3 linked regions of the Tamandua tetradactyla genome follow. The protein of the gene in region 1 purifies or fractionates together with the protein of each later gene. This does not show direct contact. Links are inferred from orthologs where the notes say so. Each region holds a gene or a part of one and is shown in the gene's direction. Other genes may lie near its edges. The genes, in order: POLD3, POLD1 and SPRTN.

Evidence for each region.
Region 2: the proteins of POLD3 (region 1) and POLD1 purify together in Homo sapiens (co-immunoprecipitation; 8 studies listed by BioGRID and IntAct, with this or other methods). This does not show direct contact. The link is inferred for Tamandua tetradactyla from reciprocal best matches to the Homo sapiens genes POLD3 and POLD1.
Region 3: the proteins of POLD3 (region 1) and SPRTN purify together in Homo sapiens (affinity purification with mass spectrometry; 3 studies listed by BioGRID, with this or other methods). This does not show direct contact. The link is inferred for Tamandua tetradactyla from reciprocal best matches to the Homo sapiens genes POLD3 and SPRTN.

Annotation. Positions count from the first base shown.
Region 1 is NC_135334.1:71,091,168-71,101,283, reverse strand, and holds the start of POLD3 (DNA polymerase delta subunit 3), read left to right. Parts: upstream 1-5,959; 5' UTR 5,960-6,086; coding exon 6,087-6,146; intron 6,147-6,176; exon of another isoform or gene 6,177-6,349; intron 6,350-7,451; coding exon 7,452-7,507; intron 7,508-10,116. UniProt on the Homo sapiens protein: Accessory component of both the DNA polymerase delta complex and the DNA polymerase zeta complex.
Region 2 is NC_135342.1:10,822,966-10,832,915, reverse strand, and holds the start of POLD1 (DNA polymerase delta catalytic subunit), read left to right. Parts: upstream 1-5,606; 5' UTR 5,607-5,673; intron 5,674-9,950. Other genes in the region: NR1H2 (oxysterols receptor LXR-beta), read left to right, coding at 521-620, 3,194-3,402, 3,704-3,850. UniProt on the Homo sapiens protein: As the catalytic component of the trimeric (Pol-delta3 complex) and tetrameric DNA polymerase delta complexes (Pol-delta4 complex), plays a crucial role in high fidelity genome replication, including in lagging strand synthesis, and repair.
Region 3 is NC_135333.1:1,005,290-1,015,918, forward strand, and holds the start of SPRTN (DNA-dependent metalloprotease SPRTN), read left to right. Parts: upstream 1-6,220; 5' UTR 6,221-6,342; exon of another isoform or gene 6,343-6,596; 5' UTR 6,597-6,758; coding exon 6,759-6,979; intron 6,980-8,019; coding exon 8,020-8,119; intron 8,120-10,131; coding exon 10,132-10,260; intron 10,261-10,629. Other genes in the region: EXOC8 (exocyst complex component 8), read right to left, coding at 3,908-6,094. UniProt on the Homo sapiens protein: DNA-dependent metalloendopeptidase that mediates the proteolytic cleavage of covalent DNA-protein cross-links (DPCs) during DNA synthesis, thereby playing a key role in maintaining genomic integrity.

The DNA of each region.
Region 1 (10,116 bases):
TTAAGGATTACAAAATGGGGAATTGTTGAAATATCTGTAGTTAGCAGTGGGGCAACAGCTGATGGTAGAGTTAGAGATGAGCCCTGGTAACCTCCAGCTATGGCTGTATTTAAACTAACATTATGAGGAAGCAGAAACTGTAGTTAAGCCAAAGAAGAAAACCGAATAGCCTTAGAGAGAGAAGACAATGATGATGATGATGATGATGATGAGAGAATGAGTATGAGGCAAATAGAGCTGCTCAATCCATCAAGACTGTATCTATAATGGCTCTTGCCTCTCCTTTATCTGCTACTAAAGCTGAGCCACCTGATGTTTCTTCCAGAAGTCTTCCTCATCCATGAACAATGGGTTTTGAAGCCCATGAACAATGCTCTCTGAGAGGAGGATCATTCACTTCTTTCTATTCTAAATGCTACCTCCAACCCACCCCATCATCCCAAACCCTACAACACACTTTTTAAGATCCAGGAGTAAGGTGCTTAAGAGAAAAATTCTCATAACCAGTTTCCAATTATTTTCACTTTACCATCACCACTCCAAAGCACCCTTTCAGCCTCCAAGGGAAGGGAGAAAGGAAAACAATACACAAAGCAACTGCAAAACTGGTGTGTGTGAATTTGTGCATTGTCCTCTTGCTCTTTTTCTGAATGTCCAAGACAGCAAAGGCAGGGGTGTGAACCTCTGGTGATTGAGCTGAGGGATCAACGGGCTGAAATGGGGTGTGTGTGTATTCTCGGGGCAGAGTGGGATGGTGGTATGTTTGGAATAGGTCACCCTAGTTCAATGTCCTCTTGGCTCACTCACTTTGAGGGATTTTACATTGATTTTTATAAAATTGATAAAGTGTTTTATAACAAGCACCTAGAGTTTTATCTCACCTTCCTTGGACTCCTGCCTCTCCAGATATCAGGACAGTTGATATATTCTGGCCTTGGAGGCTGTACAGTCCACAAGACTGTCAACACAAGATACAGATGTTCTCATAAAGCAGCTTGTATAAAAAAAAAAAAAAGGAAAATACAGGCTTGCTGTGTTGCTTAAAGCATAACAATGGCAACACTCTGTTTTTATTTCTTACATATTTTGTGTAAGGTGAAAGGTGAGATTACATAACGTCTAGCCCTGGATAACTCAAGTCCAGAGTTTTCCTCATATTTCCATCCTCAGGTGGAGTAGGTGCCCCCTTCAGGTTCGTATGGCACCCTGTGCTTCCCTCACACCATTTTGCTATTTACCCTCCATGAACTGTAAACTCCCAGAGATGAAAACCATCTTGTGTTCCCCTTAGTTACATAGGGCCCGATATACAGAAGCCCTTTGGTAATGCTTCTTGAAGGGAGGGTGGGAGGAAGGGAGGGAAGGAGAGAGAAAGGGAGAAAGGAAGGAAGGATGGATCAAATGTCTAAATTCCTTGATGCCATTAAGTCCTGGGTCCTTGGAACTGTGGAACAGTTCTTACATAGTTTTGAGACCCCTGAATCATAATTTTAATCTGGTTTTCCTTGGTTCTAACCTATTACTCTGCCTGGAATGCCAACCCCCAGAGACCAGTGGCAATCTGAAGTCCAGCTAGCTGGTGGGGTTCCTGGGTTGTCCTTACAGGCCCCCTTCCCTACACTGAGACTGGGAATCCTGCCTGCATTTAGGTTAACCCCTCCTCACTCGCAACCAAATATTGAGCCCCATCCAGATTTCCCACACTGTACCTGTCAGAATCATTAGACTCTCTGGTACCAGTAATTTCTGGGATGAAGTGGGGTTGGAAAAAAAGAAAGAGTAAGGTCAACCTTCTATTTGTAACATCAACCTTAGGCTCTTTTTTGAGACCTGGAGGCTGGAGAGTCTTAATCCCATACAGTTCTCACTGCTGGTATCACCTGACACCTGCTGGCCCCCAAAAGTGTTGACTGTGTCCTGTGGTTAATTAATTCTCTGGTTGCTTGATGGTTCTGGTTTCTGGAGACCTGCTTTTGTCAACATTGGGTACTGATGTCAAGCCTCATCCTTAATGAACAGGAAGGGAGATATATTTTTATTTTTATTTTAAGGAAAAAGCATTTATAGTTATAGGTAAGTCCTTTTTTGGAAGTTTGCCTTTTTCATTTCATATAGAGAAAACTTCACAGATGCCTGGAATAAAAAGACGGCTTAATTTTACTTTGGTAAACGCCTGACTTTTTTCTTCAGGATGAAAACATTTATTTTTCTGATTATAGCAATCAAAATTCTCTTGTAAAAACTGACACACATATAAGAAAAAAACTAATATAAAGAGAATAAAAATTATCCAAATCTGATCACCGAAAAACAATCACAGAGTTTAGAGCATAGCCTTTGGTGTCCAACCACCTGGGCTGGAAACACATCTCTGTCACTTACTACCTACATGCTTTGAGGCAAGTTACTTAACCTCTCTGAGCTCCAGTATCTTAATCTACCAAACAGGGATAATAATATGTCTTAGTTTCCAGGCTGCTATGACAAAATTCACATAATGAGGTAGCATAAACAAAGGGAATTTATTGTCTCACAGTTTCAGAGGCTGGAAAGCTTGCTTCCTCCTAAGTTCAGTGGTACTCTGGCTGGCAATCCCCATCATGTGGAATGTCCTCTCCTTTCTCTTCTGGCTTCCACTGACTTCCAGTTTCCAGCTGTGGTCTTCTCTTCTAAGTCCAATTTCCTTTGCGTATAAGGACTTCAGCCATATTGGATTAAGGTCCACTGTCATTTGGTTTGCACACACCTTAACTAATAATATCTTCTAAGGTCCTACTTACAAATGGGTTTCCACCCACAGGACTAGGGGTTAGGACCTGAACATGCCTTTTGTGGGGGACATAATTCAACCCCCTACATAATATTACGTACTTTACAGAATTGCTTTGAAGATTAAATGAAGATATCTAAGTAAAAGGCTTAGCATGGTACCTGCATATTTCATAAACTCAGTGAAAGATTAGTAATAAAAAACACTATCATTTTTTCAATTTTTTATATATTTGTAACCATAACAACATACAAACACGAACATTCTTACCATATGATCATTCCAGTCTTGGTATATAATCAATAACTCACAATATCATCACAGAGTTGTATATTCATCATCCTGATCATTTCTTAGAACACTTGCATCAATTCAGAAAAAGAAACAAAAAAAGAAAATGATCAGAGGGATTACCCCTCCCTCTCATTGACTGCTAGTATTTTTATCTACCCAATATATTTTAGCCTTTGTTTACCCTATTTTTCTTCTAAACCCCTTACCACTCCCTTTCATTGATCACCAGCATTTCAAACTACTAATTTTATTTTAACATTTGTTCCCCCATTATTTATTTTTTAACCCATACGTTTTACTCATCTGTCCATAAGGTAGATAAAAGGAGCATCAGACACAAGGTTTTCACAATCACACAGTCACATTGTGAAAGCTGTATCGTTATACAATCATCTTCAAGGAACATGGCTACTGAAACACAGCTCTACATTTTCAGGCAGTTCCCTCCAGCCTCTCCATTATACTTCAACTAGAAAAATGATATCTATATAATGGGTAAGAATAACTTCCAGGCTAACCTCTTGACTCTGTTTGAAATATCTCAGCCATTGACACTTTATTTTGTCTCATTTCTCTCTTCCCCCTTTTGGTTGAGAAGATTTTTCTCAGTTTCTTGATACTGAGTCCCAGTTCATTCTAGGATTTCTGTCTCACATTGCCAGGAAGGTCCATATCCTTGGGATTCATGTCCCATGTAGAGAGGGGGAGGGCAGTGAGTTTGATTGTTGTGTTGGCTGAGAAAAAGAGAGAGGCTACATCTGAGCAACAAAAGAGGTTCTCTGGGGGTAACTTTTAGGCCTAATTTTAAGTAAGCTTAGCCTATCTTTTGTGGGGATAAGTTTCATGTGAACAAACCCTAAGATTGAGGGCTCAGCCAATTGCTTTGGTTGTCCCCACTGGTTGTGAGAATATCAGGAATTCTCCACATGGGGAAGTTGAATTTTCCCCTTTTCTTGCCATTCCCCCAGGGGGACTTTACAAATGCTTTTTTTTATTCACTGTTCAAATTACTCTGGGATTTATTGGGGCATCACTCTGCACAAACCTAAAAAATCTCACGCCCTACTCAAGGTTCCATGTACTTATGGTGTTCCATTAAATTGTCCACACAAATAAAACACTATCTTAAGTCTCCTTGTTTCCTAATCCAGTGTTCTCCCCCCACTAATTCTCACTGTTTTTTAGTGTAATTGAACTTAAGTCAGTAAACATTTATTGAACACCTATCACATGCTGGTGTGGTGGTGGTTGTTACCATTACATTAGAATGAAGTCAGGTCTAAAACCCAGCTTGGTTATTTAAGTAAACCTTGTCTTGGAACCTATTCATACCTCCCATTAACAACAGAAAATTGATTTTGCATAAACTATCTTGCCTTATTTCTCCTCTGAGTGATGAGAGACTTGAGTTCCAATTCCAGCATGCTTGCTAGCCTGTGACCTTGAAAAATTCACTCCTCCTCTCTGAGTCTCAGCAATCTACTCCATAAAATACAGAAAGTATAATCTATTTACAAGGTTACTATGAAGATTAAATGAAATATCACTCTCAAATCACCTGGTAAAGAGTACCTGGTATATAATAATATAGCCAACTTTTATTGATTTTATTGTATACAGGCATGGTAAGCAGGGTTTATGTATCTCACCTGTAACTCTGGCCAAATGGAATTCTTTGATTTTCTCACCTACTCTTTCTCCCAATCTCAGTCAAGGAAACGGCATCACCATTTACCTAAAGAGTTAAGTTAAAAATCTAAGCATTTTCCTGATTCCTCTTCTTTTGAAATCTCACTCACCAATTTATCAGCAGGTCTTGCTGAGTTTACCCCTAAAACAAAAGTCACCCAATTATTTCAATTCCTACTACTGCTACCCTAGTTTAAGCCACCCCCTTGCTCATTTAAATATCTCTACAAGAATATAAACTACATGTGAACAGCCTCCATGTATTATTGATCACAGCTGTATCCACTGCAGACCCAGTCCCTGATCCTTAAGACATTTTTTGCTAAATGTCTTTAATGAATGTATGCTGCAATGAACTTTCGAAGTAGGTACTGCTATTAACTCCAATTTATAGATGAGGAAACAAACCCATAGCGATTGAACAATTTACCTAAAGTCACACAACAAACAGCAAAGCCAGGATTTCAATCTGGGCAGTCTAAACTCATCTATCCATTGTGTTGTGGAACTGAACTTCACTGCTTTATGCTAACGTCAACTCTTAAGGTTTTACTGGCTGATATTAGGAAAAATTTCAGTTGAAATTCTGCATGAAGTCTTCTCCAAATTTCCCTCAGAATATGGTTCATTGGCCCCTTCACACAGCCTTGGAGACCCAGCAAGATATGGCTCATATCTCCTCATTGGCCCTTCTTCCTCCATTCCAGTATAATGCACTCTCTTCTCCTACACGAACTCTTATCTCTTCCCAGCAAATGTTCCGGTCATTCTCTGAAACACAAATTTCCCCTGAAAAACCTAACCTAATTTCTCAATCCAGGCGGATCATAACAGGCAGCACTTTCTCCCAGCCGGCATCACTTTGTACTCAAATTACTTATTTCTGTCTTTATTGCTCAATGCTGTGTCCCCAGTGCCTAAAAGTGTCTGGAAGATACTTAATAAATATTTATTAAATAAATGTATGGAGAACAAAGATTATTTACCAATTTACAGGTGATGAGACTGTAGCTCAAGTATTTTGTCCACCTTCAATCATTAAGTAGCAGAGGTGAAATTCGAACCTAAGGTTCGAGACAAACTCTTTCCCAGCACGCCCTTCCTACAGCTTCTCATTTCCGCCCTCCCCTACTAGCTTTATGCACTGTACTTGAGCCTGCGCCATGACTAGTTTGACCCCCGGACGGCCGCCGTAGCGCGTTGCCTCCGTTGCCATGGGAAACGACCTCGGACCTGGGAGGGAGGGGGGAGGAAAGACATTTCCCGCCGGCGGGAGCTGTGGCTGTGGCGGCGAGGGCGGCTCAAAGGCCGCGGATTTCAGCGCTGCGGCACCATGGCGGACCAGCTTTATTTGGAAAATATAGACGAGTTCGTTATGGACCAGAACAAGATCGTGAGGAGCTAGGACGGGGGAATGTGGGCGTGCGACTGGGGTTGTGGGTATGGCGAGGGCTGCCAGGGGCCTTGACCCCACCCCCGCTTGTGGCGTCGTGGGAATTGGCCGAGGGAAGATAGTTCCCCACATCTTCTGCTCCTAGGCGGGTGAGGGCCCTCCGGAGAGGTCTTCTAGTTCGCGCGTGCTTCCGTGTCCCTTGGGTAGGCGTGCTGTGGACTCTGCACAGGGCAGGAGCCAGGGAGGTCCGGCGTGGTGGGAGGGGTTTTGGCGCAGAATGTTTTTAAGTCGTTCCAACGCCAGTCACATAAGCTGTTTGGCTTTAAAAAATCCCTGGTTTACAGTTGAGAAAATTGCATCTTAACTGGTTTAAGTGACAAGTTATTTAGCGTCCTGACGGTTCTCTTCCTGAAAATCTAGGTATTGATATAGGCTTGGTTTGCCTCACAGGATTGTGTGAAGTCAAGTGAGACGATGGGTGTGAGTGCACCCTGATGCCAGCTGTTGCTTTTGAGAGTCTACTGTGAGCTAGGGCACTTTGGATACACGTTATTTGCATTTAATTTTTACAGCGACCCACCCAGAGGTTGCTGGTAGTATCCCTAGAAGAGGAAATTAAGACAAAGGGGCCTAATAACTTGGTTAGTTGTGGTTAGATAGACACAGCCTAGGTCGGTCTCTTACTTCAACTAATGCTTTCTTTTACATCACATTGTCTTTGCCTTAACCTATTATTGGAAGCTCAGCATTTAGAATTGTTAGGCTTTAGGAGACTGGCAGGCATACTGGGTCAAGAAAGAATAGAAGGAACGCCAAGACTTAATGCCAGAGTTCCCCAGCTAACCTTTGATACAGTATTCATTGCTTTTTTCATTCATTCCCTGACCCTGGCACCATCTGTGCCCTTTAATGATTGTAAGGCTGCAACTTGCCTTGGAAGTTTCTGAGTTGTGCACTTCAAAACAATACTGTTTCTGGGTGAGTTTTGGGATAGTTTTGGGTAGTGGACCCAGACAGGGGCAGAATGTGAACAAAGGGCCTTGATAAAACAAGAAATGTGAGTCAATGAGAGCTTTTTCTTTCCATATATATTCAGCCTTTGACATGAACTTTTTAGTGTTTGTAAGAAAAATGTTAATCCTGCTTGTCCAGATGGGTGCTTTTTGGCAAAACTGGGGTGACATCTATTGTAGTTTATAAGACATAATAATAATAATAATAATAATAGAATCTTTAGGAGCAGCCTTTTGGAACTAATCTGCATTGTTGAGTCATTAATATTTTAAAAATTGCTTCTTCTTGCAGGTGACATACAAATGGCTGAGCTATACACTAGGGGTTCATGTTAACCAGGCCAAACAGTAAGTCCAGTTTACTACTAATTTTAACCACACTTGAGTTTTTTGTTTTTAACTTTACAGATAGCTAGGTTGGGACAAAAAAAATTTTTCTTGGGCAATGGTAAAGAGTATTATTTACTACCTTGTACTACCTTTAGTGCCTTGTCTATTTTAGGAGGTAGGTGGACTGGTGTACAAATATGTGATGATAAATTTACTGGATTTATTTGCAGCCTTACCCTCTGGGTGACATCACTGTACTTCAAATTTATTAAATTAGCCAATTACATTTATATCTCAGACTTGTATGTCTGTTATATTACATCTTCAGAAAGTCCTTAGTCTCCTTTCCAGATACTGGAACACTTGTACAATGAGGTCAACAGGTGTTTGATACAAGCTGTGTAACAGAGAAGAAATATTTAAGTGAAACTGAGAGACAGTATATAGGATGGCTCAGACCATTTTCCTCCTGGGTTTTTGCCATGTCCCTTTTTCTTGCTGAAACTTGTGATGAAAGGCCAGCTTTTGAATTGACTTAAAAATTTTTTGACTGAAAATGTGCAAGTATTATCACTGTCCCAAAGGGAGGAATTAGAGAACAGCTCAAGGACACTTGTGTTGGGTTAGATGACCATTCAGTTTGTTTCATTCCCAAGGGTTTGTTTTATTCCTCATTTTTGACCATTCCTTCAGGATAGAAACTTTGAGTCATAGGAGTATCTCATAAAAGTTTTAGAAAATCCCTGATCTCTAAATGGCTTGATTTGGCTTTAAGGGTTGCTGTTTGACAGGTCTAAGAGTCTGACTTTGGCTGTGATGTTTACTCCTTTGAGACCTGAAGCTCTTAGCCCAGGAATGAATTTGGACTGGTTTTAACTATATGAGATAAGACCATTTCTAGCTCAAACCCAAGAGATAAAGGTAACTTTGGGAAAGTGAAATAAAGTAGCCTGCAACTTTACTATAAGTACCCTGATTTCCTATAATTTTTATAGCATTAACAGACTGTCCAGTTTCTATCATCCCATACTACTCCCTACCTTAATTATTATTCTCTTCCCATATTTGCTTTTCTGTTCTTCAGGAAGGAACAAGCCTTAGGACCTTTGCACTGTTCTCTCTGCCTGGAATGTTCTTCTTCCAGCTGTCCTCATTCTTCAGGTCTCAGTTCAGATTTCACATGTAACTCTTTAAGAGACCTTAGAGAAATGCTGTCTTTTAAGTATCCTCACCCATCCCTAATACTTTGTCATAATACCTTGTGATTGTCTCTCACATTTTTTCAATTCTTTTTTTTAATTGGGATATAATTCACCCATTTAAAGTATACAAATCAAAGTTTTGTAATATATTCAGAGTTGTACAACCAATACCACCATCAATTTTAGAACACTTTCATCATCCTCAAAAGGAACCTGTGCCTGTTAGAAGTCACTCCATAGTTTTCCTCAGCACTGTGGTCCCCCTTCCCCACTGTCTTAGGTAACCATATCTACTTTCTGTCTCTATAGGTTTGCTTATTCTGGGCATTTCATATAAGAGGAATCATATAATATGTGCTTTGTGTGTGTGTGTGTGTCAGCCTTCTTTCACTTAGCCTATAGTTTGCAAGGTTCATCCATGTTGTAGCATGTATAAGTATTTCATTCCTTTTTATGGCTGACTAATATTCCATTTTATGTGTATACCACATTTTATTTTCATCAACTGATGGATATTTGGGTGTTTCTGCTTTTTGGCTATTGTGAATAATAATGATGCTGTGAACATTCGTTTATAAGTTTTTGTGTGGACGTATGTTTTCAGTTCTGGGTATATCGCTCTTGAGGAACTGCCACACTGTTTTCCAAAGTGGCTGCACTATTTTACATTTCCACCAGCAATGTATGAGGGTTTGTTTGTCCATATCCTTACCAATTTTTTTAATCTGTCTTTTTGAATTTAGCCATCCTAATGGGTATGAAGTGGTATCTCATTGTGATTTTTTTTTAAATAAAAAGTTATTTTATTCAATATATTTGAAACAATCATCTGCAAATTTAACCTATCCTTAAAAATAGGCACTGTTTTAGTATAATCCCGTTTATGTACAAAACTAACAAACCCTTTACATATTCACATTTATGTTTAAGTGCACAGAAAAAGGCATGAAAGAATATGTATTATTAAATGCTGGGAACCTTTAGGAAGTTAATGTGAAAAGGGAGATAATTTTTATTCCATATACTTCTAAATTTGAATTTTTCATTCATGTATTTATAGATTTTTTTTTGATAAAGGTTCAAAAGCACCAAAAAACATTTAAAAACAATGCTTAAATTAGTAACAAATACCTGTCTTCTGACAATGGAGTTTTGTAGTAGATAATCTTCCTTGGAAAGTAATACGTTGGCAATAGGGTGCAAAGACGGAGAGCAAATAAACTATAATCCTGGTAGATGTTTATTTATCAAATCTCATTAGTGGAGTCTTCAGCTGGCTTTTAAAACAAGGGCTATTTCATTATACTGGCATACATGGCAGACCGTATGAGTACAGCAAAGATCAATTGTCCATAGATGAGAGGGTCCATATCTGAACACTCTATTCTATTCCATTGGTTAGTATATCTATCTTTATGCCAGTAC
Region 2 (9,950 bases), on another chromosome or scaffold:
CCAAATAAACCCAGGACAGGTGCTGGGAACAGCAGCACGCAGGAACCCCCTCTCCTTGCCCTCTTGGGAGAAGATTACGTCAAACACAGAAACAAGAAAGTCAGGCTGTGTGGCCCCAAGGAGAGAAAGGGGAGAGGGCTAAGGTGGGGAGTAGTTGAATGGACTGAAGGGACCCATTTAGAGAGAGTGTGCTGAGAAGGCTTTTCAGAAGGGTTGATGTCAGGATCAAACAAGTAGATGCTGAGTGCCTGCTTTATGTCAGGCCCTGTCCTAGGTGCTGGGGATAGAGCAGTGAGCAAATCCAAAGCCCCCCTGCCTGCCTCGCCAGAGTCTGGGGAAAGTGAGTTTTGGGTGGTGGGCACAAGTGTGATATTGCTTGGAGGAGGGACAAGTGTGGAGTGTGTCGGGTGCAGGCCTGAGCCAGTGGGGCTGAGTGAGTGGGGGGTGGAAGGGCCAGGAGAAGTGGGCACAGGGGTCCCTGCAGCCTGCCGCTGCCCACCCCGTTCCCCTGTGCCCTCAGATCATGCTTCTGGAGACAGCCCGACGCTACAACCATGAGACCGAATGCATCACCTTCCTAAAGGACTTCACCTACAGCAAAGATGACTTCCACCGTGCAGGTGGGCTGTGGCCCGTGGAGGCTGACACATCCGCTTCTGCACCTCCTGAGGTGGGGGGTGGGGCAGGGGAGAGGGAGCCAACCTGGCAGTGGGGCTTCTGGACTCAGCCTCCACTGAGTGCCAGCTGTGTGCACAACAGACCCAGTAGAGCATGAGTCACAGGGTCTCTGTTCCCCCGTGGGGCATCTTGGTGGGAATTAAGAACCCTATCCCCACTCTCCACTGGGTCTCCGTCTCAGCGGAGGGAGGGCAGGCTGGGTGTCGGTCTGCAGTGAAGTGCACGACCCACGCAGTCCCTGCCCTCCGACAGTATTCCCCTAGGGTCTGTGATGTGGGCAGGTGGGCTCCCTGCAGGAGACGCAGTTACACTGAGGCCTGAGGAAGGAGAGGCATTGCGGAGGAAAAGGGGGTGGGGATAGGGTTGCTCGCTAAGGCACAGCAGGCACAAAGGCTTTGCTCCTTCTCTGGACTTTTCTGGCGAGTCCACCTTCTCTGCTGCCTCTGCCTGAGTCCCCTCTCTGTTTTCTCAAACATCCACTCCTAGACCCAACTCCTTTTATTCCTTAATCCCCCACCCTCCATACCACCCAAGATGGTCCCAGAAACCCTTTGAGTATGAGCCTGGCCTGGGCAGGGAGTCCTTAGGGTCTCCAGTGTTTACAGTGGTGGGGATGGGGTGGAGAAGGGGATCATGTGCATAGGTCCTGAGGTGGAGAAGAGCCAGATGTGTTTGAGCAACTGCAGGGAGACTGAGGCATCCAGGGCACAGGGAGAGAGGGCTGGAGAGGAGGCCAGGGACCCCACTGCTCCTCACTGCTTCTCTGCCACCTCCTGGTCCTGGCCTCAGTCACCTTTCCCTGAAACACTGCAGGTCCCTCCAGGGTCTCTTGGCCTCCACGCCAGCCTGATCTAGTCTGTTCTCCACAGTGTAGTCAGAAGGACCCTGTTAACGCCCAAGTCAGCTCACATCTCTCCTCTGCTTGGAATCCCCATCCCCACCCCAGATGGCTTCTTTCTCACTCAAAAGCCAAAGTCTACCCTGTGGCCTGTTAGGCCAAGTGTGATTCACCCTGATCCCTCCCTGCCTTCACCCCCTGCCCTTTCCTCACTCACTCAGCCCCAGCCACATGGGAGTCCTTGTTCTTATTTGAGCCCACTAAGTATGCTTCAGCTGCAGGCCTTTTGCACTGGCTATTCCCTCTGCTGTGAACTGGGGTGACCAACTTGTCCTTGTTTGTTCAGGACCTTCCTGGCTTTGATACTGAAAAGTCCTGCGACCCAGGAATCACTCCTGTTGTAGGCAGATCAGATGGTTGGTCACCCTACCTGGAACTCTTACATAGCCTTGCAACTTGCCCCCTCCCCTCTTTAGGTCTGTGCTCAGGTGGCACCCTACAGGAAGGCCTCTCAAGCCACCTTGACTAGAATTTAAAGGTGACCTCCATCTGTCCCAGATGCACTTCCCGACTTATTTTATCCCATAGACATTATCACCATCTCATGTGCTGACAATACATATGTGTGTTTATTATCTGTCCCCTCAACCCGCAGATGTTAAGTCCCATGTAGGTAGGGGCTTTGTCCTGTAAGCAGCTCTATCCTAGGGCCTGGCACATTTTAGGTGCTCAATAAAGTTTTTTTTCTTTATATATTTTTATTGAGAAATATCCATACACATACAGTGTAAACATTACACAATCAGTGGCTCACAGTATCATCACATAGTCAATAAAGTTTGATAAGCAAATGAGTCAGTGATGGGAATGAGTTTGGCTTTATTCCTACAGCAGTAGAACCCAGTGGAGGAAGTGACATATTCTGACCTGGGTTCAAGAGAATTTCCCTCTGACTGCCAGGAACCGGAGGAAGACAGATGCAGGGAAGCCAGGGAGGAGCCGCTGCTGCCCTGGCAAGGCACAAGGGCAGTGGAGGGATGGGAGAAGGCAGTGGGTGTGTCACTCCTGTTCCGTGTCCTTTCAGGAGAGGTACTGTACTTCCACCACGCACAGACACTCTTGTGAGCAGTGGGGACACAGAGGTGTCTTAGGTCACTGGGGCTGCGTAACAAAGGATTCAAACTAGGGGCCTAAAGATAAGTTATTTCTCAGTCCTGGCGGCCAGAAGTCGGGAAGTTGTAGGCGGTCCCTCCTTACTTCCTCCCGGCCCCTAGTGGTTTGCTGGGTGCTTGGCAGTCCTCGGGCTCCAGTCTCTGCCTCTGTCATCAAATGGCCTCCTTCCCTCTGTATCCAAGTGTTCTCTTCTTATAAGGACACCTGTCATTGGAGTAGGGCCCACTCAGCTCTAGTTTGGCCTCAACTAATCGCATCTTCAGAGACCCTATCGTCAAAGTCACGTTTGCAGTACAGGGGTTTAGGACTTGAGCATGTCTTTTTTGGGGACACAATTCAACCCACAGAACAGGAGAACAAAAATTACCACGTGGTAATTACTGGAGTTTTCCATCCCCCGTGATGGTGGGCAGTGTCAGGGACCAGGGTGTGGCCCACTTTCTGGGCGTGGAGGCGTGTGTCGGCTTCTGTTCCCGCCTGTTCTCACCCTCCGCCCACCGACAGGCCTGCAGGTGGAGTTCATCAACCCCATCTTCGAGTTCTCGCGGGCCATGCGGCGGCTGGGCCTGGACGACGCCGAGTACGCGCTCCTCATTGCCATCAACATCTTCTCCGCCGACCGGCCCAACGTGCAGGAGCCGAGCCGGGTGGAAGCGCTGCAGCAGCCCTACGTGGAGGCGCTGCTCTCCTACACGCGCATCAAGAGGCCGCAGGTAGGCCTGCCAGGGCCCGCCCACTGCCTCACGCCCCGCCCACCACGCCCAGGGCCACGTCCTGAGTCGAAGGCGATGTAGGAGGAGTCCTGGTCTAAGTGGGGTCATGCTGGCTAGGGTTCCTGCTTCCTCGTCAGCACATCCTCTGTCCCAGAACTGCACTCTGAGCTCGGGCCGCTGTCCGCTCCCGGGTCCCTTAGTGCAGATGCCCTGCTCTGCCCACCACTCCCCATGCCGGGGAGGCACACAGGCCAGCAGGGCCGTTCCCGCGCTCATCTGCTGCTTGTGCTGCCCCCCGCAGGACCAGCTGCGCTTTCCCCGCATGCTCATGAAACTGGTGAGCCTGCGCACCCTGAGCTCCGTGCACTCGGAGCAGGTCTTTGCTCTGCGGCTCCAGGACAAGAAGCTACCGCCTCTGCTGTCTGAGATCTGGGACGTCCACGAGTGAGGGGCCCAGCTGCCATCTGATGGAGGGTGGCTGTCACCCTTCTTTCTCCTGGGGTGGATGCCTGGCGTTGGGGCCCCACTTTGGCTTGGAGCCCAGGTGCCGGCCTTGCCGGCCCTCAGCCTTTGGGATGAACTCCGGTTGGTGCCCAAGCAGGCTCTGGGTCCCCCCCTCCCTGCCCGCCAAGTCTTCCTGGAGGGAGTGGATGTCTCACAGGCCCTGACCTCGGACCTCTCCCAGCGGCCTCCCCACCCAGCTCACGCCTCTGGCCCATGCGCAGTGCACCTTGAACAGAGGGAGGGGAGGTCCATGGCTCTCCCCCACAGTCTGAGAGACCATAGTCCCCTCTCCTTCTGCCCCTTTTATTTAATAAAAACTTAAAAAAACAAAAAATGGAAAAATAAAATATGAATATACAGTTGCTCTGATTTGGAGTGGGTCAGAATGGAGAAGGAATGCTGCAGGGTCTTCCCCAGCCCTCTGACCAGCGCACAGAACCGGGTGGGCTACCTCTTCCTACTACACGTAGTCTTGCAACTTGTCCTCTGGTGGCACGTAGGGGATCAGAGGCGACTCTGGTGCCAGGCTGGTGGGGTCAGACACAGACGCTGCAGCTCAGGTCAATGTGCACTGGGTGCCGAGGGAGTCCAGGAGGGTGCCCCATGGCCTTGGGGTCACTGTCCTGTACCAGGTGAATATCACTCTTTAAGGACACAGGACATACTGGATGAGGAGGGACCTTTTATCCACCTACGCATTTGCCGAGGCTTCCTGGGGGCAGGGCATTCTGGGGACAAAGACGTCCTTCAAACAACAAATGTCTTTGAGTATTTACTATTGCCATGTAGTTCTAGGCGCTGGGAACAGCGACCCTCTGGTGGCAACCAGCCAGGCCTGGCAGTGGGGAGAGGGGCGAGGACAGTGCGAGGGAGCCTTGGGGCAGCCAATACTGTGTGGGAGCCTAGAGGAGTCAGGGAGGCGAGGTCTTAGCTGGGACCCATTGGACCAGAACTCGGAAGCTGAGGGTCCATGTGGAGACACAGGCATGGCAGGGACTCTGGCGAGTTCAGAGTAAGGCCAAGTAATTGCATTTGCACAATTCTTCCCCCGTGCCAGCCCCGAGGGAACAGCTACAAGAGTTGCGTGGCCATCCCGACTGAGGGTGGGGAGGGCGTGGCTTGGGGGACCGACTGGGTACCGAAGGGCCCGTTGGGGGGCGGGAGGCGGCGGTGGACGGGAGAGTAGTCACGCCATCGCCTCGTGCTGGGCAGTGTGCTGGGCGCCCCGCATCTGCGCTGTCTAGTTCACAGATGGAGAAACTGAGGCCGTGAGGAAGAGGAGGCCTGCCCGGAACGGAGCTCGAATCTGCCAGACTCTAAGAGCAAGCAGATAGCAAAAGCAGCTACTCCCGGCGCGGTCCTGCCGGGCACTGAAGGACAGGCAGCGGAAGCTGGTGTGCGGGGGCGGGCACAGAATTGCTGCGCGCGCAGGCCTGCCAGGCCGTCAGCGCCGAGGGGCGTGGCCTTTTAACCAGCGGCATGCTGGGGGCATGGCTTTGAGGCGGCCAAGGCGGGAGAGGGCGGAGTTTGGTCAGAATATGAACGCGAGCTGGGGCAAGGGGCGTGGCCTGCCCCCTGGTTGGAAGACCGGGGCGTGGTCTAGAGGCCAAGTTGTGAGGCGGGGCGTGGCCTCATCCATGATGGGCTGGATGGGGCGTGGCCCGGCTCTGCGCGCGGCGGTTCTGCGCTTGCGTGCGCGGAGTCAAGGGTCACGGTGGGGCGGTGTCGGCTGTGGCGGGAAACGCTGTTTGAAGCGGAGGAGAACAGGTAGAGGGGGATTGGGGGATTCGGCCTGACAGAGAAGGGGGCCCGGGGGGCCGGGCATGGAGCGTGGGATGGGGTGGCGAGGGGTCTCGTGGAACGTGGCTGCGGGAGGGAATCCCCTGGCCCGGCGGAGCGCCGTGAACCGGGACTGGGACCTGTGGAGTCCCAGACGCGTGTGCCGGGACGCTCGGGCTGGGGAAGTGGGGGCGCCTTGGCATGCGGGGGCGCATGCGCAGGGTCCACTGGGCTTCCAGGCCTTGGGATACGCGCGCTGGAGGGCTTTCCGGGAGACGGAATCGAGAGGCGTTCGGGGGCAGAGCGGTGCGCGAGGGGACGTGGGTGTTCACGTCGTTGTTTATTCACTGGATATTCATTGAACGTCTACTCTGCTGCAGCATGAACAGAGAAGGCGGATGGTAGACAAATGATAGCGATAGTAATAGTGAGTGCTTCCAGGCTGTGTGTGATAAGTTATCTGAAGGGAAATGAAACTGGGAAATGCAGTCACCTGGAGTGGTGAGGAATCACCTGTCTGCGGGAGTGACAATTGAAAGGAGCGGCCAGGAGAGGTCTTGAAGAAGAGGGTTCCAAGTAGAGGGAACAGGTACAAAGAGTCTGGGTCTGGAAGGGGCTTGGCCTTTTTGGGAACAGGGGAGAAGTACAGGTGACGTTGGAGACGCCACGGGGAGCCAGATCAGGTAGGGTCTTTTGTGCCTCTGTAAGGAGTTTGGCTTTTCGTCTCTGATCCATGGAGAGCCACCGGAGGGTTTTGAGCTTTGAAGTAACATGATCTGCTTTATCTTTTGAAAAACTCACTGGCTGCTCAGTGGAGAGTAGATTGTAGCAGGAATAGGAGTGGATGGAGGGAGACCAGTTAGGAAGTGAGAGGGGATAATAGGTGGCTTGGCCTGAAGCGGAAGTGGGGAGAATCTGTCAAGCTTGGGGTGACTTTGCAGGTGTGGCAGCAGGGCTGGTTGATGGGCTGGATTGAGGGATGAGGAGAAAAGACCAGGATGACTCTTGGGCTTGTGGCTCAAACTGCAGGCTAGATGGGGAATGCTGAGGGAGAAGCAGATTTGGATGCATCATCCTGAAATCAGAGTTTAGAGGGGAGCACAGGAGGAGGTAGGGTGACGTCAGTACCTCAGCTTCCCCACTCCCTACAGTAGGACCCCAGGAACCTGTTGTTACCTGTCTCTCCCCTTCCCTTCCTGCACCTCCATCTGGGACCCACACCTCTCCTGTCCTTCCGAGAGGCTCAGTCCTGGCTGATTCAGGGCCTTATCCACCCCCTTTCCTCTTTGAGTGAGACCCCACCTTGAGCTTTAGGAGGCCTTCACAGTCTGAAACAGCCCCAGCCCAGAGTACACAGGTGCAGTAATAGAAGTGCAAGCTATGGTGGGATTCTGGAGAGGCACCTGGTCAGCCTACAGGAGTCCAGCTCTACTGTGTTTCCAAGAACACAATGGGCGTCAATGGCCAAGAGAAAGGGGACAGGGCCCTGTGCTGGATGATGCTGGGGACCCAGAGAAAAGTCAGACCCTGCCCTGGTCTGGTGGGGTAGGCAGACATGGGCCCAGACAGTCCCAATCCAGTGATAAGGGCAGCGACAGAGAGGCTCAGGAGAAGGACAAGACCAAAGCATGAAAAAAAGAGTGTTGTGTTTTTTGGGGGGGAGGGGGTGAGGGGTAGTCAAGAGTGAATTTACTTAATTATTTAATGGTTTACTCCTTCACTCAGCAGATCCGGAGTACAACAACAGACAAGCAGACAAATCCGTCTTCAAAGTCTTTCTCCCCTGTTGAGCTGTGGGTCCAGAGGGTGGTTCTTGAGTTTCTTACCTTGTATCTCCTCAGCACAGGCCTGGTGTGCAGAGAGGTTGGCACCTGAGTGATGGTTTGCAGTGGGTTCTTGGAAACCTGGCTCCATCTCCTTGAGCTGGCTGTGTGACCTTGGGCAGACTGCTTTACCTCTCTGGACCCCAAATCCAACTATTACCTACCTCAGAGGGGTTTGTTTTTAACTCACAGCTTTATTGAGATACAATTCCCATTCCATACAGCTCACCAGTTACAGTATATAAGTCAGTGGTTTTAATATATTCACAGATATGTGGAACCATCATCACAGTCAATTTTAGAATATCTTCATCACCTCAGCGCAGAGAAAAGGTTAGAAACCATGCCTGACCCTGCTGAGGACTCGGTGTTGTCTCACCGTCCCCGGTACAATGAAGTGTCTGCTGCTGAAGGAGTGTGGACGGCAGAGGGCACGAGCCCTTACTGAGCTCCTCCCCCAATCAGGCAGAGCGTGCCTCTTTCTTGATGCTGACCTGCCTCACACATGTACCGGGGCTCGGTCCTGGGATAGGGATGAAGCTCAAAAGCCTGGATTTGGCTCTGGGTGATGCCTTCCCCTCACAACCCCCCATGGGGCTGATTGATCCAGGCTGCCCAGGGACAGCCAGTCGGTCCCCTCCGGACTCCCGCTAAGCTAGGTTCTGGAACCGCTGAGGAACCACCCAGCAGCCCCAGTTACTTCCCCCAGATTGGAACTGCCTAGGTCTGTCTGGCTACTGCCGTGCCTTTTTTCTTCCTGGGAAATAAGCACTGAAAGAGAGTCAGTTAAAAGGCTTCTTCCTCCACAAAAACTAATGCACAAATGTTCATGGCAGCATTATTCATAAGAGCCAAAAGGCAGAGACAACCCAAATATCTTTTGATGAACAAATGGGTAAACAATGTGGCATATCCATGCAGTGAATATTATTCAGCCACAAAAGGAACAAGGCACTGATGTGTGCTGCAACATGGAAGTTTGAAAACATGCTGCTGAAAGAGGCCAGATGTTTCACGTATTGTGTGTGTGATTCCATTCACATGAAATGTGCAGACTAGGCCCACCCATAGAGGCAGAAAGTAAATTAGTGGTTGGTGGGGGCTGGGAGTGGGACGAATGGGGGATGATGGCGAAAGAGCATGGGTTTCTTTTCAGGAAAATGAAAATGTTCTAAAATTGATTGTGGTGACAATTACACAACTCTGAATATACTAAGAACCATTGAAATATACACTTGAAATGGGTGCCTTGTATAATAGGCTATGTACTTCTCAGTAATACTGTTAAGCCTCCTTCCCTCCCCACTTCCTCAGAGCATTGGTGTTACTAGCTTCTAACTTACCCTTCCAGAAATATTTGACGCATGAAAAACAAATATGTTTATACGTATCCTTCCACCCACCTTGTAAAAATGCTATTTTTTTCACTTTTTTTTGTATAGTATAACATATATAAAGCAAAGAAATTAAAAAGCAATAGTTTTCAAAGCACTCCTCAACAAGCAGTCACAGGGCAGACCCCAGAGTTTGTCATGGGCCACCACATGATCCTCTCATATTTTTCCTTCTAGCTGCTCCAGCATATAGGAGGCTAGAGGGCTTAAATACTTTTTCATCATCACAATCGACTTTCTTTCCTTCTTTCTTTGTGAAAAATAACATATATACAAAAAAGCTATAAATTTCAAAGCACAGCACCACAATTAGTTGTACAATGTATTTCAGACTTTGACATGGGTTACAATTTCACAGCTCTAGGTTTCCATTCCTAGCTGCTCTAAAATACGGGAGACTAAAAGAGACGTCAATCCAATGATTCAGCATTCATATGAATTTGTTAAGTCTTATCCTCTATGTATAATTCCACCATCACCCTTGATCTTTCCATATCTCTCCTTAGGGTTGTTTGGACTATGGCAGTTCTAAATTTCTGACATTGGAAGGGTCTGTCACAAACATGGGGTAGGGAGATGGAATCGTCTGATGTTCTGGAGAGGCTGGGCTAGGTTTCAGGATTTATCTGGACCAGGGACCTATCTAGAGGTTGTAGGTTTCTGGAAAGTTACTCTAGTGTTCTAGAGTATCCTTGTGGAATCTTATATATTGCTCTAGGTGTTCTTTAGGATTGGCTGGAATGGTCCTGGTTGGGAGTTGGCAGGTTATGATAGTAGCAAGGTCTACCTGAAGCTTGCATAAGAGCAACTTCCAGAATAGCCTCTCAACTCTATTTGAAATCACTCTGCCATTGATACTTTATTAATTACAGTTCTTTTCTCCCTTTTGGTCAGGATGGAATAATTGATCCCATGGTGCCAGGTCTGGATTCATCCCTGGGAATCCTCTCCCATGTCTCCAGGGAGACTTTCACCCCTGGATGTCATGTTCTACGTAGCGGGAAGGGCAATGATTTTACTTGCGGAGTTGGGCTTACAGAGACTGAGG
Region 3 (10,629 bases), on another chromosome or scaffold:
ACAATAACTTAAAACAACTTCATACTGGCATAGATACAGAAAATAGTCTAAAAATGTACCAGATACACATCTAATATGAATGTGATATATTACTAAAACGGTATTTCAAAGAAAGTGGGGGAAAAGCATGGTTCAAAATCATTGTTACAACTTGCTAATTATTTTTTGGGGGGTGGGGTGGGGGTGGCGAATCGAAAAATGCAAAATTATGATGCATCCATTCGATGAGATTGAACATTATTCAACCACATGAAAACAGGTACAGCCATAGGAATAAGTCTCAAAGATATGTTTTAAAAATATTGAATCAAGTAAAAAAAAAATTAAGATGCAGAACAAAATGTATAGTATGATCCAGTTTCTGGAAAAAAAAATTGAGAAACTCAGCAGCAGTTAGGGAGTTTGGGTGAGGATGAGAACTTCAATTTTCCACTTTTGCAGAGCGTGAAGCTTTCTTAGAAAGCATATGTTACTTTTACATTTTTTCCACTTATTAAAAAAAAATCTGCAATGGCTCTGTGACAGTACTATGTCAAGTCTGAATTCTGATAGTTGATTTTCAAAACCCTTCATAATGGGCTTATAACCTCTATACAATATATTTCACAGAACTGTCCAACCTGCTTTCTGCAATCCGTTACAGCAGATCTCTTCAAGTATGTCGCACATATTCCCACTTCTGTGTTTTTGCTCATGTCGTGCTCTTCCCTTTTCTTTGCGAATCTAAATCGTGTCCATTCTTCAATGGCCAGCTCAAGTGCCAGCGTTTCCATGAGAACGTTCCCAAACCCTACTCTGGTCTCTTCCTTCTCAGTATTTCCACTGTATGGAAAGTGTACTGAAACACACAGCTTGCACTTCAACATTTGCTGAGTTTTCCCACAGTTTAAGCAACTGGAGAGAAGAAAGCATGCCTAAATTTATTTTGTACTATCCCTCCCACAATACAGACAGTGTTAGGCATAAGAATTCAATAAATACCTTTTAATCAATTTTATTTGATAATTCCCTCAGTATATATATTACTGTAAGAAAACAGAATATTGTCATTTAGTTCCTAACTATATTATCTTTTCTTCATTTTGGTACGCGTGGGTGATATAAAACCCATTTTTTCAGGGTAAATTCAAATTTAGATTATATGGAAATATCCCATTCAAGGGACTCTTAAAAAAATTCAGATCTGACTTATTTACAATTCTGACAGTATGTGGAACATGTAATTACATTAGCTAACAGCTTTCTATCTACTCCCCCATACCAATAAAAACCCACTAACCTTGGCTCTCCAAAGAATATTTCAGTAATGAAATTAGCATGAGGATAAGAATATTAAGTTGTAATCAAAGATTTCAGAGAATTAGCTATACATTGTAATATCAAGCAATTTTATTCAGTGTAAGAAAATTTTCAGGCTTTATTTTGATAAACATTTCAAAAGTCCCTCATATCACATCATATCAGTAAGCAAAATGCACATGTATATTGATTTTATATTACATATTAAGCCCTAAATTCCCAATCCTAGGTAACATACTGAGGTGCAAAATACTAGGGCCGACAATTAAACTACAGGTAGTATTTTAAACAACGTAAGTGAGGTTTCAGCACTTAAATGAAATGAGGCTTTAATCAAAGAGACTTAATTGCACAGGGTGTCTACTTTCAATAGCAACCAAACCAATTAAGTCTGTGATTTCAAGCTTAAGTGATAATGTTATGATTGAAGCAAACAAGAAATGGCAATCTCTTAATATGTACTATATTTTTGGAAAAACTATAACTGCATTCAATTTTTAGAAGTTGTTTTAGAGTTGAAAGAAACAAAAGAATCAGAGAGACAAGCTCTGACTTCACTTTGAGAAAAGCAACTTAATTGCTCTGTCTTGGCACAAAGGTACATTATAATATTGTTGATTTTTAATCAATGTCCCACACTAAACGATTCACCAAAAAAAAAAAAATTTCCTTCAGCTACAACTCTGATTAAGAAACAAATTTAACAGAAGAAAATTCTGAACTTCCAGTTTTAAAAAGCAGACAGCTTCGCGATGAAGCAAATACTTAATTACCCAAGTATACACATTTAAGTTTTTACAACATCATGCCTTAGGATAAGTTTCCATTTGAGAAGCATTATGTTCTGGACCAGCATAAAATTTTACACATATGTTTTTCATACAATATAATTGTACAGACCTTAAATGGCACAAAATCATCCTAATCACAAAATTTTATCAAATTTAAATTTCCAGTGATCTTAAAAACGAAATTATAACTTTGTTCAACTGACATCTCCAGTTATGCTTATTATCTAGAAAATCTTAAAGGTGTAGGAGAAATTGGTCAAATAAAATCTGTAACTTTGATGATTTTCATACTTTTAAATATGCATTGCTAAAAACAAAATAAAATAAAAGGCTGATCTGGCATATGAGCAATTAAGTGAAGGCATTTTATAACCCTATCCACTATTTAGAATCTATTTTAGGTTTTAAATAATTTCCAGTCTTACCATTTTTACTTGATAAAAGAAATGATCTTTTCAAGTCCATTTTTGGCATCAAAAATGGCACTTATAGACAAGAATCACAACTAGAAGTGAGGAGGAGAAATGGATCTCAGAAGAACAATAACTCTGAAAGTAGGAGGAATGTTACATAATCAATAAGCAGCAGAAGCAATGGTTTAGAAACCCTGGGAAGTCCAAATTTCTTCAGTTATTTTAGTTTTACTAAAATATCTGAAATAACAAAGATTATATTCACTTTTAAAAACAAAGCAAGGAAAATAACAAGGTGGCATGCAGTATTTCAGTAGGAGTCATAAAAAGTTCTCTTTCTCCCTTAGCTTTGAGTACATTGTCTCACCTCAGTTTTTTACTTTGTTACAAAAACAAAAACAAGTCTCTGCTCAAAGTAGTCCAAGAGAACACTATGTGATTTGCATATGATATTTTTCCATTTCCCTCTATCCAAATCTAAACCAATGTTTCAATGAAAATTTTCTCCTATTTGCACGAAATCTGTGGCACTACATAGCCCACAGTGAAATAGGGGCAGCTAAAAAGCACTGACTACTGCCAGTTTCCTCGGTGTGTCCTTTGAATTTTATTAGTACTATTATTATTGTAACATAACAAAAATGAAAACTCGAGTTGGAAATTCACACAATTCTGGAATACACTGAAAAAAATTACCTTTTCACCGTTCTTAAGATTCTCAGGTAACTAATGCTCTCAAATCAAGTAGTGTGAAGCTGCTAATTAGCAGCTGAAAATAATCATTCAAATTATACTGGAAGTGTAAGCTGAACTGTCTCATGAAGGCTTCCTCTTTTATTCTGTGAGACTGGAGGATCTAAGTCCATACACTAACCAGTTTCAGGAAAGAATTTTTTTGACTATAATTTACCCTAACATCACTTCTTCCAACTCCTGTTTTCCCCCAACTTGTTCATTCATATACTAAGGTGGGGAAGTACATGAGGCAGGGTGTTTTATATGGCATTGTACCCCGTAAGTACTTCAAGAAACCTAACATTTTAGTGAAGTGGGAAACTTTTCACAATATACTTTAAACTCTATGTATTTACAGATATTATTTCTCTGTGTTACATAACATATACTGTGAGAAAGTGTATGTTGATTCAAAGGATAACGTGAAATACTATAGTGTGGCCATAGAGAATTAGCATATTTTAAAAGGAAAGAATATTTTATGTTTTAATAATTCCATTGTTTTTGTTATTTTTGCTTAACTTCTTTTTTTCTTTTGATTTGGTATTTCTGAGAGAACATCAATTTTTAAGCTATGTTGAGGCCAATAAAGATATGCTAATGTAACGTAATATAAATATAAATAATACACAAGTAAGTTATATACATATGTATAAACAGATCCAAGCATCAGACTACTGATGTTGTACTTTCGGGATTCACACGGATGAGTCTGGATGCATTCCTCAGGTCTTGGAGTTGCTTGGCTGGTTTCCCCACACCTTCTTCAAACCTTTTCTCCACTACAGGGAGGACAGTTTCATACAGGAAGGATGCATTCTGCCTGATAAAGGCCTTCTTCTCTGGATCCTGCTCACACCGAAGACTATAATCCACATGCTGGACGGCAACCAAAATAATTTCCACCAGACTCTCCAAAAGGACCATGTGCAGCTCTGGGAAGTACAGCTTCAGCGCCTCTTCCAGAAAACCCATGGTCTGTTTGGTGAAAGCAACCACGGTGTAACTTAGGTTCACCCAACAGTCATCCCCAGTGTACTGCTCAAAATTACTTACCCCACAACTTTTCATCTCTTCTTTGAGTTTACCCAGGGCCTCTGGAGTCATCAAGTTCATTCTCCTCCACATCTCTTCAGAGTTGCGATGTTTAGTGGCTTCGATTATGATTTCTTTGTAACTGTGCAAGGCCCCTTGAATATCTTTCACGAGAAGGGCATGGATGATGAAGGTCAGGTCTAGTCCCTTATCACCCAGTAGCTGACACTGATCCTTAGCCACCTTTACACACTCAGCTGCTGTTGAGAGGCTCTCTTTGCTATCAAACACTTGCTTGCTAAAAGCATCCACAAACATGCCCATGGCTGACCGTGCCCAGACCACAAAGGCGGAGCAGCAGCCACTGTCAGTGCCTGCAAAATCTGTCTCAAACTCCCTTGCAGTCTCAAGAAGGCTGTTAAAGAAGACATGGCATAGCTTATGAATATAGAGTAAAGTGGCACCTTCGATGCGCAGCTGACGTATGGCAGTATGTACAGCTGCTGCCCTGTTTCTCAAAAACAGTTCACAAGCCTTGGTGCACTGGCCAAGCCGGATTAGTTGAGAAACTGCCCTACGAGTAGCCTTGGGACCACCTCTCAGGGAACGATCGGGAGAGAGTTCAAAAACTAATACCTCCGTGAGCTGACGAACGCGCTCATCCACTTTGGCCCTTAGTTCTTTTACAGGCGGGGGACTGGGCTTATCTTCCAGGTAGTGGTTCAATTTATCCAGCAGATCAACGGCCCCTTCGAAGTCCCTCTGGGCAATACAGACATCCAGGTCTTCAGGTAACTCCTGGATCCATTCCACTGAGAGGTCCACCCTCTCTTCCTCTACCTCCGGAACAGTTAGTTCTTCTTCTTCATCCTCCTCAAATGGGTTGCTGGCCTTGGAAGTCACTTGGGGTGGCCCTCGAGGGGCCGCTGCCTCCTCTTGCTCCCTACGTCTTTTCTCACTGAGGGCCCTCTTGGTTTCCTCCAGCACTTCCAGCCACTCCCGCTTGATTTTAGCATTTTCCGCCTGAAAGATACGGCTCTCGGGGAACATGAGCAACTTGAACATGTCCTTCATGGGTGGGTTATCCTTGACATTGACCACAGCCAGGCCATCTAGGGGATAGAGAGCGTTGTAGCGATACATTCCCCGCCGCTGCGGCAGCCAGGTGGCCACCAGCAAACAGTCGTTCATGAGAAAGCCATGCACTCGCTGCAGCTGGGCCATGTGGTCCGCCTCGTATTCCACCAGATCTCCGTTGTACACCAGGTATTGGCCCGGTGTCTCCAGCAGGTGCCGGCAGCCTTCCACCTTCTCAAGCAGGGTGGTGAGCGTGCGCTGCTTCCCTTCCTCACCCAAACTTGAACCGTCCCGGGAGGCGCCTCCCGGGGTGGGAAAAAAGCCAGCCTGGCCTCGGAGGTGGTCTCGGCTGCCCGGCCCCCCTGCTCCCTCCTCCCCTCCGGAGGCCGAGGCGGCCCCAGCGACCGCGGCGGCGGCGGCGGCGGGAAGCAGGGTAAGCGGGATGCTCTCCAGGCTGCTCTTCTGCTCGGTAAGCAGATGACTAAGTTGATACATCTCGCTCTCCAAGTAGGAGATCTCGCGGGCCGTCTCGATGAATTGCCGGTAGTTCTGGTATACGTTGCGCTTTAGGTTCTGCGCCGTCTCCTCTGCCAGCGCCTGGATGCGCTGCCGGTGCTCCTGCAGGTCCCGGTCCCCGTCCGACTGCTGCGAGAGTTGCTTCACGTACAGACTCGCCTCAAAGCCACCTGACTCCAGCTGCCGCCGCAAACGGCTTGCCCCACTGTCCGACATCGCCATGGCCATTTCCGTTCGGGTCTCAAGCAGTCACTGTCACTATCACCGCCGACACCACAATCAAGACCCACCCAATCCGGACAGAGGCCCGGGGCTGCGTAAGCCGGGCGGAAACGAGACGTGTGCGCCTGCGCCCGGGTTTGAGCTCCAAACAATGCGCCTGCGCAAGGGGGGGTGGTGGTGGCGGCACACAGACAGTGCGCCTGCGCAGAAAAGCCAGCTGTTGAGGTGCCTGCGCCGAGTCAGCTGTTGCGGAAGTGAGTGGAGGGCGGAGGCGGAGGGATATAGGTACTGCGCGGAGGTCTGTGTGACGTGAGATGTTCGAAGTTAGAGGCAAGTCCGGGGACTGGAAAGGCAAAACCAGCTTCCTGAAACCTTTCTCTGGGCCGAACCCTGAAAATCCAAGTTTTGCGCCAAGTAGGAGGTGTCATGCTAGTTGTTTTTTTTAAAAAACCCCCAAATCTTGGCTACGACGTTTGGTCCCAGCTTAACTCTCGTTCTCGTTCTAAAGCCAGTTTTCCCCGAATTCTCGCGATTGTGGCGGGATAACACGAGAGCAGCCTGGGAGCCGCTATCTCCTAGGAGTTCGACTAGGGCCCTGCGAGCATTTGTGACTCGCCGCCGAGTCTGGGAGCAGCTTCCCCCGGGTTTGTGCTTTGAGTTCCGGGCAGCGATGGACGAGGACTTAGTGTTGGCGCTACAGCTGCAGGAGGAATGGGACTTGCAGACCGCAGGGCGCGATAAGGCCCAGGAGCCCCTGTCGTTGGTGGACGCGTCGTGGGAGCTGGTGGACCCCACCCCAGATTTGCAGGCCCTGTTTGTTCAGTTCAACGATCGTTTCTTCTGGGGCCAACTGGAGGCCGTGGAGGTGAAGTGGAGCATGCGCATGACCCTGTGAGTCAGGAGCCCCTGGGTGGGCGGGTCTCGGAGGTCTGCTGCTTCGGGCCTTGGGACTCTGCTTTCTCAGCCTTGATGGTCTCGGGGCACGTTAATCGAGGGGGTCTGGTTCTGGACCAAGTAGCTCCTTAGTGTATTTGTCCCTTTCTTGCCCAGTCTCTCGCTCAAACAACGCTGTGTTACGGCTCACAATAAGGGAAATAAGAGAAAAGAACTTTTTTTTTGAAACTCACTTCGCTTGATAATAAATGAACATATTTCTGATTTGTCTTATGGTAGCGCTTTAGGATCTAGGAGGAGGGAACAACCAAAGTCTGACCCTAGTTAAAAGTGCTGAGGAAGCACAGAAGCCTCCAAAGGGTGTGTGTTGTGGGTTATCCTCTTCTCTACTCAGTAAGATACCTTCGCTAAGTAGTGATGGCATGTGTTAGAATGAAGAAGGAGTTGACATTTGTCTTTATCTGGACCCAGGGGATCTTCAGTGGCGCCCATAAAAGGATTTCTTTCTGCACTTAAGAATTGAGAAATCCACATTTGAAAGAATCATCTATTCCTGCGCATGAAAGGGGTTAACAAGTGTATGATGCAGTTTGCATATCAGCATGCATGTTTTTGAATTGTTAACAAACATAACCTACAGATAGGATATGATATCAAGTTGTGCTTAAAGTACAACTCTCCTTCATATAACCTACTATAATTTTGGAGATGTGCTACTGGAGTAGGTGTGTGCCTAATACCACCAGCGGCTGATTACAACTTGTAGGGAGTAGACTGGGAGTAGATGAACAGGATTATCTTCTTTGACCAGTTGTAGCCTGGCTAGGGTAGGGAAGCCATTTCTGTTGACTTATCTCCCTAGCTGGGGTGACGTGTAAATATCTCATAACAAAGAGAGTATACTTTCAAGAAAGACATCTGCCAGTAGAATTTTCTTAGTGTGAGCTGCCCAGGAATGTATAAGGATTTGCTCTTTCATCTGTTTCCCTTTTGGTGTGCATTTAGTGATGTAACAAATTTTTGTGGTTGTTTTCCAGGTGTGCTGGGGTATGCAGCTATGAAGGGAGAGGTGGAATGTGTTCCATTCGTCTCAGTGAACCCCTTTTAAAATTGAGACCCCGAAAGGATCTTGTAGAGGTAATCTTTGCATCCATACAATTTTTAGCTCAGTAATTTAGATATGCTTACAGTGATTTAGAGTACTGTGCATTTTTAAAAAATCACTTCTCCCTTTACTTTTTCTTTCTTTTTTTTTTTTTTGCATGGGCAGTCACTGGGAATCGAACCTGGGTCTCTGACATGGCAGGCAAGAACTCTGCCTGCTGAGCCACCATGGCCCACCCTTCCCTTTATATTTTTATCTGTGGGTTAAATAATAATAGTAGTTGCCTTATATTTTGTATAGTGCTTCAGAGCTATAAAAGGCTTTCAGATATATTATCCCACTTGATCTTTACAGCAATCCTTTTGATGTTCAGTGTATGTTATCCTCATTTTTATAAATGAGGAAATTAAAGTTCAGAGAATTAAGTGATTAAGTTACATAATTAGAAGCACAAGGGAAAAAAAGCTTAGGAACAAAGTTTTCCTGCTTTGACATGCACATTTTATTCAACTGCCACAGTGTTGTCATCCCAGGACACTTAACTGAACTAGCAGCACAAAGTATAGAAATAGTTGTTTAACATTATTATGAAAAGTTGAGAAACTTTTGAAATGTAGAATGGGTCTTGATAGAGTGACTTGAAAAATCAAGTTCGTTTTGAGAGAGACAACTGATAACTTAAAAAGAGATATTTTTATGATGACCAACTTAAAATCTTTGATTCTCCTATTTTTCTGTTCAGCATAATTTTATAAGACTAAAAATTTAATTAAATTAATGCCAGCCTAGTTCTTCTGATGAAACTTCTTTGTTTAATAAAAGAGGATTATAAAAATGCTACACTTTTGAAGACTTTTGTGATTTTCATTAAGAAGTGGTATGCATAATGAGTTTTTTTATTTTAAAATTTTACGTGATTCATTTTATGTGGTTCAGAACTCTAGTAAGTTATACACAGAAATCTTGTTCTCTTGTCGTCCTCCCAATTTGACCTTCCCACCCACTATAGGGAACTGTTGGTACTAGTTTCATATTTTTTCCTTGTTCTGTTTTGCAAATATTTATATTCACTTCTTCCCTGTCTCTGCCACACTGCACACTTACACAAAATGTGTTATGTACGCTCTTAACATTCTTTGCCTTTTTCATAGCCATCATTTTCTTTCTTTTTTATACCTACACAGAATTCTGTGATGTGGATATTCCATAGTACAGTCAGCCAGTCCCCGCTTTCTAAACGCTTAGAATATATCCAGTCTTTTGTCATTATGAATAATGCCAAAATGAATACACCTTGTACAAATGATCTTTCATATCAATTTAGGTATCACTGGGCCAAAGTATGCATGAATTTTAAATTTTGTCAGATGTTACCAAGTTCTTTTTAGGGGTTGTAGCATTTTGAACTCCCACCAGTGATATATGGGAATGTTTATTTTCCCATAGCATTACTAACAGTGTCAAACTTTAGTAGCTTTAATCAGTCTTGATAAGCAAGAAATGGTATCCTATAGTAGTATTAATTTGCATTTCTCTTATGAGTTTGAACATCTTTTGATATTTATGTGTCATTTATATTTCTTTTTCTGTGAACTATCCATGATCTTCGCCAATTTTAAAGTTGGGTTGTTGGTCATTTCCCTTTTGACTTTAGCTCTTTATGTAATAGGATATTAATAGTCTGACTCAGTTACACATATGTTTTTTTTACTCTCCTTATGATTTTTTTCCCCATATGAAATTTTAAAGTTTTTGTGTAGTTGAGTTCATCAGATTTTTATTCTGGATTTTGATTAAGAATTTAAAAGGCCTTTTTGGAACAGAGAGTCTTAACCTGTGTTCTGCAGAGCTTTGGATATCATTTGCAAAGTTTTGTAAATGTATGTGTATGTAATTTTTCTGGCAAGATGGTTCATGACTTTTATGTTTCTGAAAGGAGCCTGTGATTCAGATAAAATTAAGACCTCCAGGTAGAATAAGAAAATGCAGATATACATTTTTATTTTAAAAGTGCCGTTTCAAATTCTTTTGTTTTCTGTTTCAGACCCTCTTGCATGAAATGATACATGCTTACTTATTTGTCACTAATAATGATAAGGACCGGGAAGGGCATGGTCCAGAGTTTTGTAAACATATGCATCGCATCAACCGCCTGACAGGAGCCAATATAACGGTATATTAAGACATACTTAATGATACTTTGTATTTATTTCTTGAGATAACTCGTGGGATTTAATTAAAAATAGAAAATTGGTAGTACCAAACATCTTTGACCATTTTCACCTGCAAACTAGAGGCTTGGAGAAGCTGATTGACTTATCTAGGACCCCAGAATCGAATGGCAGCAAAGCCAGAATTTTATCTGAGGCCTCTGACATCATCCAGGTTAACATCTTACATGTAGTTAATTTAGGCTTGTAATTATGTCTAATTACATAAGCTTGAACTATGTCAATTGTCTCTTAACTTTGTTTACTTATTATGGTCTCCTTCAAACCATCCTATATTCTCCCATTTCATATGTCAGTCTTTTCGTCAGAAG